2 linked regions of the Oryzias latipes genome follow. The protein of the gene in region 2 purifies or fractionates together with the protein of the main gene of each other region. This does not show direct contact. Links are inferred from orthologs where the notes say so. Each region holds a gene or a part of one and is shown on either strand. Other genes may lie near its edges. The genes, in order: nphp4 and nphp1.

What was found.
Region 1: the proteins of nphp1 (region 2) and nphp4 purify together in Homo sapiens (co-immunoprecipitation; 6 studies listed by BioGRID and IntAct, with this or other methods). This does not show direct contact. The link is inferred for Oryzias latipes from reciprocal best matches to the Homo sapiens genes NPHP1 and NPHP4.

What each region holds. Positions count from the first base shown.
Region 1 is NC_019865.2:668,619-672,970, forward strand, and holds the start of nphp4 (nephrocystin-4), read right to left. Parts: upstream 2,845-4,352; 5' UTR 2,332-2,844; coding exon 2,158-2,331; intron 2,018-2,157; coding exon 1,880-2,017; intron 1-1,879. UniProt on the Homo sapiens protein: Involved in the organization of apical junctions; the function is proposed to implicate a NPHP1-4-8 module. Does not seem to be strictly required for ciliogenesis. Required for building functional cilia.
Region 2 is NC_019873.2:15,307,768-15,312,101, forward strand, and holds the start of nphp1 (nephrocystin-1), read right to left. Parts: upstream 2,803-4,334; 5' UTR 2,512-2,802; coding exon 2,446-2,511; intron 2,096-2,445; coding exon 2,034-2,095; intron 1,511-2,033; coding exon 1,450-1,510; intron 1,138-1,449; coding exon 1,004-1,137; intron 832-1,003; coding exon 648-831; intron 1-647. UniProt on the Homo sapiens protein: Together with BCAR1 it may play a role in the control of epithelial cell polarity. Involved in the organization of apical junctions in kidney cells together with NPHP4 and RPGRIP1L/NPHP8. Does not seem to be strictly required for ciliogenesis.

The sequences.
Region 1 (4,352 bases), on a different chromosome or scaffold from region 2:
AGCAGGAGCAGCAGAAGCAGCAGGAGCTGCAGGAGCAGCAGGAGCTGCAGGAGCTGCAGGAGCAGCAGGAGCAGCAGGAGCTGCAGGAGCAGCAGGAGCAGCAGGAGCAGCAGGAGCTGCAGGAGCAGCAGGAGCTGCAGGAGCTGCAGGAGCTGCAGGAGCAGCAGGAGCAGCAGGAGCAGCAGGAGCTGCAGGAGCAGCAGAAGCAGCAGGAGCTGCAGGAGCTGCAGGAGCAGCAGGAGCTGCAGGAGCAGCAGGAGCAGCAGGAGCAGCAGGAGCAGCAGAAGCAGCAGGAGCTGCAGGAGCTGCAGGAGCAGCAGAAGCAGCAGGAGCTGCAGGAGCTGCAGGAGCAGCAGGAGCAGCAGGAGCTGCAAGAGCAGCAGGAGCAGCAGAAGCAGCAGGAGCTGCAGGAGCTGCAGGAGCAGCAGGAGCAGCAGGAGCTGCAGGAGCAGCAGGAGCAGCAGAAGCAGCAGGAGCTGCAGGAGCAGCAGGAGCAGCAGAAGCAGCAGGAGCAGCAGGAGCAGCAGGAGCAGCAGAAGCAGCAGAAGCAGCAGGAGCTGCAGGAGCTGCAGGAGCTGCAGGAGCAGCAGGAGCAGCAGGAGCCGCAGCCGCCCTTTTGGGTCACTGGGTTGCTGGAGCCTATCCCAGCAGTATTCCAAATAAGCGGTTATCCTGTTAACCGAGACAACCAGATTTCACGTAGGACAACCAAAAATGAACCTGATGGTTGACCGTGTGACAACCTGGTCTTTTATTCAACATTTTGGTGTTTTTCGACTATTTTTCAAGTTTCAAGGGTTAGTTTTTGGCAACCTGTGAATTGGGACGTATGTAGCAAATTCTTTCCACCGACAAACGAAGTGCGGGCATGCTAGCGAATCCTTTCTGTTTCTACATGTGGACTTTTCAATAAAGATTATTCAAATAAATGTGTTGAACAACAGTACCTGGCGCGACCGCTAGAGGTCTCCAAAAACACGTTCAAAATAATCAGCCCATTAACAGTAGATTTCAAACACATTCATAAAACACTTTAACTTTCACTCAGAACAGAACAGACTGACATGAGCTGAAAAAAACCTTTTTCATGGGATGATATGATATTTTAAATTTTTACAACAGTCTTTGTATTTTATATTCTTTAAGCAACAATTATCAAAACCAAAAAAAAGAACCAATGTATGTAAATCTGTGTAAAGATACTAGTTATAAAGATATTAGTTGGCAATACTTTGTGTAACCAGATGCTTCAATATTTAGTAAAATGTTTGTTTTTAATATTTAAAGAGTTTTTTAAATGTCCATCATAAGAGGCAGTTGATATTAGATGTATAGAAGAAATAAAGATGTAAGTTCTGACATCTGAGTCGGTTTGGTTGCTGTTGAATATTGGTATCCAAGAACAACCAAATAACATTTGCCACTTTTTTCCCCTTCTTTCTAACGCTGCCCAGCTACTGTTGGGGGAAGGCGGGGTTCACGGTGGACGGGCCCCCAGAACATTCCAGGCTCCTTCAGTCTGTCCTGCAGTCCTGACTGACACCTTTAACCTTAACGGACCTGAACTCAACAGCTCGAACACAAACAGACTGGAACAATAACGGGACGTTTCCCAGAACCAGCAGATCCATCACTGTTCAGTTATTGCTAAAGCATCTGAAACCGGCTGCATGGCCTAGTACGACAGTGTCCACCCAGAAACTGGGAGGGGAGGGTTCAAATCCTTGATTGGTCAACAGCGGTCTGCTGGACGGTTGGGGGGGGTTTAAACGCTGCTGGTATAAATAGAAATGATGGGGCTGCATAAACCCAACTTTACAGTCTGGACCTCAGGAGAACTACAGAAAACTTCACGTGTCGAGGAGAAACCCTCGTGTACCTGATTGAAGGAGATCTTCTGGTTTTTCATCTTCTGGGCGGAACTCTTCCACGTCCTCCCAAAAAAGAGCAGCTGGTTCCGGTCGAACAGCGTCGCTCTCAGCTGGAAACTGGCGTCCGGTTCTCCGGCAAACATCTCCTGGAGATGAGGAACGTTTCCATGAACTTCACGCGAAACCACAGCCTCGGACTTTACCTCAGAGATCCTCGATCACGTGTCATCCAACCGGTTACGTTTTTACAGATGTGAACCGGGTTCAGACCGGGACCCGCGCTCACCTGCGGGAGGTGCGGCGCACTGATCCGCATCGGACCGAGCTGGAAGCCGCGGCTTTGGCTGAAGCTGTCCGCCGCCGCGCGGGCGGTCTGCCCGGAGGGGGGCACGAACCGGTGGAACCGGAACCCCCCCTCCCGGCTCGGCGCCACGACACACACAGCGTCCGAAGTCTTCATCACCAGAGCTGAAGGAGCGGGAAAAAGAGGGAAAAAAGTTCAAAACTGGACAATCTTTTGGAAGACGCCGTCGCCATTTTGAAATGGGACCGTACCATTTAGCTCAGAGGGGTGGCCGGCCAAATGCTTTCCGACACAATCACAGAAAAGTTCACGAAACTTCATGTACGAATAGAATCATTGAAGTAGAAATGGCTGGAAGTAATTTAATTTAAAACAGCTATAAATATTATTTTTAGAGTTGGTAAAAATGAGTTGTTGTCATAAATAAAACCCCGAATTTAGAATTTCCCAACTCACTTTCCGTCTCCATGGTAACGCATGGGATGCCGTTTGTAAAGCTGAACAGTCAAAGAATAACAGTAATATTTTCGGTTATTTAGCCTGTTTTAAGGTGAAATGACAAGTTTCATTTTTAAATGCATATTTTCGCCTTTTAATTAATATATTTGTTACATTTACTAACTAAGCTAATTCATTCATTAATCATCTAAACCGGGGTCACGTGGCTGCTGGAGCCTTTCCCGCTTTCCCGGCCACTTGTGGGCGAAGACCGAGGGGGGGGGGGGGGGGGTCAGTCAGGTCGCCAGTCTGTGGCAGAGCAAGCTAGTTATTTAATTTAAAGTTAAATATTTTTTATAATTACATATTTAGATTATAAAACTAAATGTTTCTTTTGTAATCTGAATTTTTAATTTCTAAAATTAAATATTAAGTTTACAAAATAAACATTTAGATCTAACCTGAATATTTATTTTCCAAGTTAAGCATTTAAGATTTTTATTTAAGTTCAATTTAAATATTTAGCTTTTTAGTAAAAATATTTCGTTTGGAGCTAAATGTTTAACTCGCTAAATATTAGCCAACATGTAAATCAGGGGTCTGAAACTCAATCTACCTGGGGGCCACAGAAGGCCTCTAGCTGAGGGAGGGCCGCAACTTTAACGCACACACACGCAACTAGTGAGTGTCTGAGAGCCAATAGATTTGTATGGAACATATACTATACTAGTAACTATACTCTATTACTAACTGATTGCTGTGCAAAATGTACTTATAAAACTCTCATTCAAATAAAATATGTAAACAAAAAAATCAATCAATAAGTAAATAAATCAGTCATACATTTCTGTTTATTTAGTCTTCTATATCTACTGTTTTCTGATTTAAACATCTTTATTAACACAGTTCAGTTAACACTGTTAAATTATAACTATTAAACACAAAAGAAGACTTAAATTCTACAGTTCTGTAAATCCATCAATGATTCTTCTGAACACGGATTCTCTTGTCTTCTTCTCACTGATGGATACTTGGCAGCACTTCCTCCCAAACAGCTGAGACCCTCAGTGTGGATGAAGATGATTATTGAAATTTAGTCAGAGAGGATGTGCTCCCTATTTTGAGTCTGTGTTGAAAGTTTTTTTTTAAGTTTACTCTTTAAACCACAAATCAGTAAAGGAAAAACAAAATTCAGAAATCGTTTTTGGATTTTCTTCCTGATGACTTTTTGCACATTTAAACCCCGGTCACAAGATGTTGTAGAGCAGCCGGTCAGCCACTCTTATATTTTCATAGTTGAATTCAAACTGTGGTTCCTAAAAGAACGGGTACTGTTCACTGGAGATCAGAACAATGGTTACCTGAGATCAAAGAACGGCTCCAAAACGGATGGAAATTCATGTTGGTGACACCAAATATGTGCAGCCAAGATGCACAATAAGCGTGTTTGAGATCACGCTGGAAATTTAGTACTGCACTGACTGTAAGCTGCCCGCATGACTACAAAACAATGCATTGTGGGACATGTGTCCTGATGGGTTTTTGTAGTTCACTGATCAATTAAAATAATTTAAAATACCAATTGATTAAAAAAAGTCTACATACATTAAAAAACATTAAAATAATTATAAAAGATATAATAACACAGATCATAGGGGGTAAGGCATATTAAAACGAAATTGAAAGTTAAAGACAACTCCAGCTTCCTGTTCTCCTTCAGTCTTGCTGCAGATTCGCCT
Region 2 (4,334 bases):
ACGTACAAAACACATTTTCACAGAAGCACATTTTTAAACACTGAATTAAATGAGGAGAATATGATTTTACAACATTAAAAAGGCTATAAATCTAAAAGCATGTTGATGGAAAACCTATTAAGATGGATCGTCTTTCATCTCTTGTGCTATCCTAGACACTTTAACATTGGGAGTTGGATCATCTAGACCCACTAGACTGTGCTCTGAACCTTTTTTCTTCATTGATTTGTCATCTTCACTGGTGTCCATGGATTACATGAAATCTTTCCACCTTTATCCACCTTTGTCATGGTAGGGAGGACATGTCAATGGTAAGCTTGACCCCATAGGATAGCACAAAGGTTAAACAAAGTACAACTATTTGCCATGAAGTGGCTATGGCTCCATCTTCTGATTTTATCAAGTACTGCATTCAAATAACATTCAACATTCAAATAACACTAATGCTCCAATTTTGCCAAGAATCAACACATAAGCAGTTCATTTAAAAGGTGCCTGGAAAGTGAAATAAGTTTTTATATTGCATGCATACATTGACACACAATTTAAGCTGATGTTCTTTTGCTACATTACTTTTAAAAATGCAAAGAAAGAAAAAAACAAATTCATAAAATTAGCTTCAGTCTTTCTGAAAAGGGGGGATTTACCTGAACTGACAGATCTCCTTCCTCTTCTCCTTTGAAATCACTCAGGACAGTGTAGATCCAGAGGTCTGATTGTAATGGTGGCTTTACAGCCTTTTTATCATCTGAGTCTTCATCACTGTCATCATCACTACTGCTTTCCTCATCTTCATTAGCCTCCCTTTGACTCTCATCCTTTGAAACGTCACTGTAGAATAAGACAAGATAGGAAGTTTAAGTTTTCCATCACACACACACAAATATCTCTGGTTCTGGGAGACTCTTGAAGTCTCAACAGCAGCAGGGATAATTGCAAATGGAACTTCTTGTAAAAAATGATGAGTCTGGAATTTGTTTCTCTATATTCTGCTGGAGCTGACCCGGTGTCACGACTGGGTCCAGGTGGTGAAAGATCCAGAGAAAGATCATTCAGACGCTCCACGATTTTCTGCAGCCGTCGCTCTTCTTCCTGTTTCCTCTGATCATAGTTACCCACAGGAGCTGGCTCCTCGGCCTGCAAAACAGTACATCACATTATAAAGTGACATCACTGACTACTTAGACTGTTGTCTTACTTTGCTGCACCTATTATCCCTTGTGCTATCTTAGATGACCCCACCCTTACATTGACGTGTTCTCCCTACCATGACAAAGGTGGATAAAGGTGGAAAGATTTCATGTAATCCATGGACACCAGTGAAGATCACAAATCATTGAAGAAAAAAGGTTCAGAGCACTGTCTAGTGGGTCTAGATGACCCAACTCCCAATGTTAAAGTGCCTAGGATAGCACAAGGGTTACAAATGACAGTTGGAGGCATATGAACCTTTGTGAGCTTTTGCAAAGTCTTTAGTGTCTTCTCTGCTGACATCTGCAGATCTTGACATCTGTTGGGAAATATAAATGCAACACAAGTTTAATTTAACACTTCTTGTTTGCGATAGTACATTTAAACTGAGAGTTTCTTTAAGTATTAATTTACTCTAATAAAAAGAGACAAAGAACTGTAAAATCCAACAATAAAATTGTATTTAAAGCAACATCAATATCCATCCAACTATAAAGATCACCACTGAAGGTAAAAATATGTATAGAGAAAATCTGGACAGACTTCCAGCCTTAAGAAGAGCAGAAACGATGTGATCCAATGATATTTTGAGAAGCTCCTAGTTAATTTGCTATTTATTGTGAAAGCTTTCACAGACGTGTTTCTTGAAAGCATAATGTTTACATTTTTACATGTATAATGGGTGTGGACTCTGTTGTGTACTTAAGATAACAGTGACAAAAAAAGTTAACATTTATAGTTGGAATTACAGTTTTTAGTTTTATAGCTATTTGCTCTTGTTTGGCTAATGAACAGACACTGCTTTTTGGAAGCAATGAAACTAGTATAGAAACGATTCATACCTTCGAAAAGCCTCTTCATTAGATCCAACCTTACTTTGCACATCCTTTACCAAATTATCGACCTGTTTTAGGAAAAAAAATTACAGAAATTGTGAGTATGTTTAATTGTATGGTATATGATTTTTGAATAATAATATCTCGGTTGCTTAATTCAATGATCTGATCAGTGGATGCCTTCTAGCTTTTCAATGATAAAATATTTCTTTGTGCTATTATTCACATCTGCCTGCATCTCCGTTGCTTAAATCGGACTTGTTCAAAAGCACAAGTTTACAGGGGTTTACTTTACATTTGCCTACCTAAAAATGCAACATCTAGGCTTCAAATCAAGATTTATTTCTTCTTACCCTGCCCAACACTGCTTTTTACGGTTAGTTTATTGTACACGAGAGGGTGCTATTATAAAACACACCTGCTTTTTTAGTTCATCCACTTCTCTCTGGACAAGTTGTAACGGTCCTCTTCTTTTAAGCGGCATCTAGGCTCTATTTTGGGTCTGAAGAAAGTCTCATTTGTTAGCCAAACGCCTAGCTTGCTAATATGACGCCAGAATCACTAGTTGCTAGGCAACATACTTTTGTGTAAATCGTTAAAAAATGTTACGTATTAATATTTTATGTATTAAAAGTATATTTTTATGTATTACGCATTGTTTGAATACTAAAGATAAGCTTTGTAAAACTAGAAACAAATGCAAAAATATCTGAAACGCGACTATCCCTGCTTCAGTAACAAGTAAATAATGCGCAGTTACCGCCCCCCAGTGGCCTGGCGTGAAACATGGCCAAAAAATGTAAGCAGCTGTAAGAAAAGCTGACGTTACACGAATTTAAAATGAACCTTTCTAAAAGTTTTCTTTACTGGAAAAAAAATAATTTCATATAGCATTTTTTAAACAAAAAAACCACAGTGATGTTTTTGGTAACTACAACGCCATTACTGAGCTTTCAATTGAAATAAATAATGTCCTTATTGAAAGTGTTACAGAAATCCAATTTTTAGGGGTTGTTATCGACGACAAATTGAATTGGAAGCAACACATCAGACACATACAAACTAAAGTCTCAAAAAGTATTTCAATGATAGATAAATCTAAATATATATTAGAATACGACAGTATATATTTATTGTACTGCACCTTAATAGTACCATATTTCACCTACTGTATAGAAATTTGGGGGAATAATTGTAATACCTCACTACATCCTCTTTTTTACTTAAATAACGAGCCATCAGAAATGTACATAAAGCCGGATATCTTGATTTATTTAATTTATTTCATCGATCTGGACTTTTAAAACTGTATGACCTTGTGGATTTTTACACTGCACAACTTCTCTACAGAGCTAGTCGGGAATCATTACCATTCAATATCCAAAAACAGTTCTTAGGAAGCTACAAACTGAGAAGATTTAGGAACTTTAGGATCAAATGGATAAGAAAAACAAAGAAAAGTTTCTATGTGTCGGTGTGTGGAACTAAACTTTGGAACGGGTTAAGTAATGAACTTAATCTTCAAATATCCAACTATTGAAGAATAGGTATAAAGAAACTTTGAATTCACAATATGAAGATAAGAGGAGTTAAGGATCAACACGTGTGTGAATAATTCCAAATATATGTGTGAACTTGACTGTGGTGAAATAATCATTACAACCAATGAGTATTAATGTGCAAAAATGATTACTAAAATGTTTGAATTACAATCAATAAGCTATTGATTTTCCTTACTTGATATGCAATGTGCAGCAATAATTACTGGTTTAATGTGATAATGTGTTCTAATAATAATCAATTGTTATTACATAATGGTTACCGTTACTGTTTACTGAAATCAAGAATGAATGTTTTCTGAAGATATTCAATCATTACTAGACACTGGATATTGTTCCTTGAAAAGAATCTATCGGATCAGAACTTGATTACAAAAACTATAAAACTATAAAATGAATTAACTCAATAGGGGTTTTTGGCTTCTTTCCACTCCTTTTCAGGCAATAAATCAAGCTCTACTTGACTTTAGTTAATCACTGTATTTATTTAAGCAAATGTGATTTAAGTGAAGTTTTGATTTTTTTTTTTTCTGTCTTTTTAATCTATGCATTTCAACATTTACGTAATGAGTTTGATAAATATGTGTAAATTATATATTGCTTTGACTAAAATGCTTGAAATAAATCAAAAAATCAAAATCAAAATCAATCAAATCGACGTTATTTTTGAAAAATCATTCATGTTTTTAGAATATCTAATTATTTACAAATATTCACTTCAGCCATTTTGGTCTAAATTTAAAATACT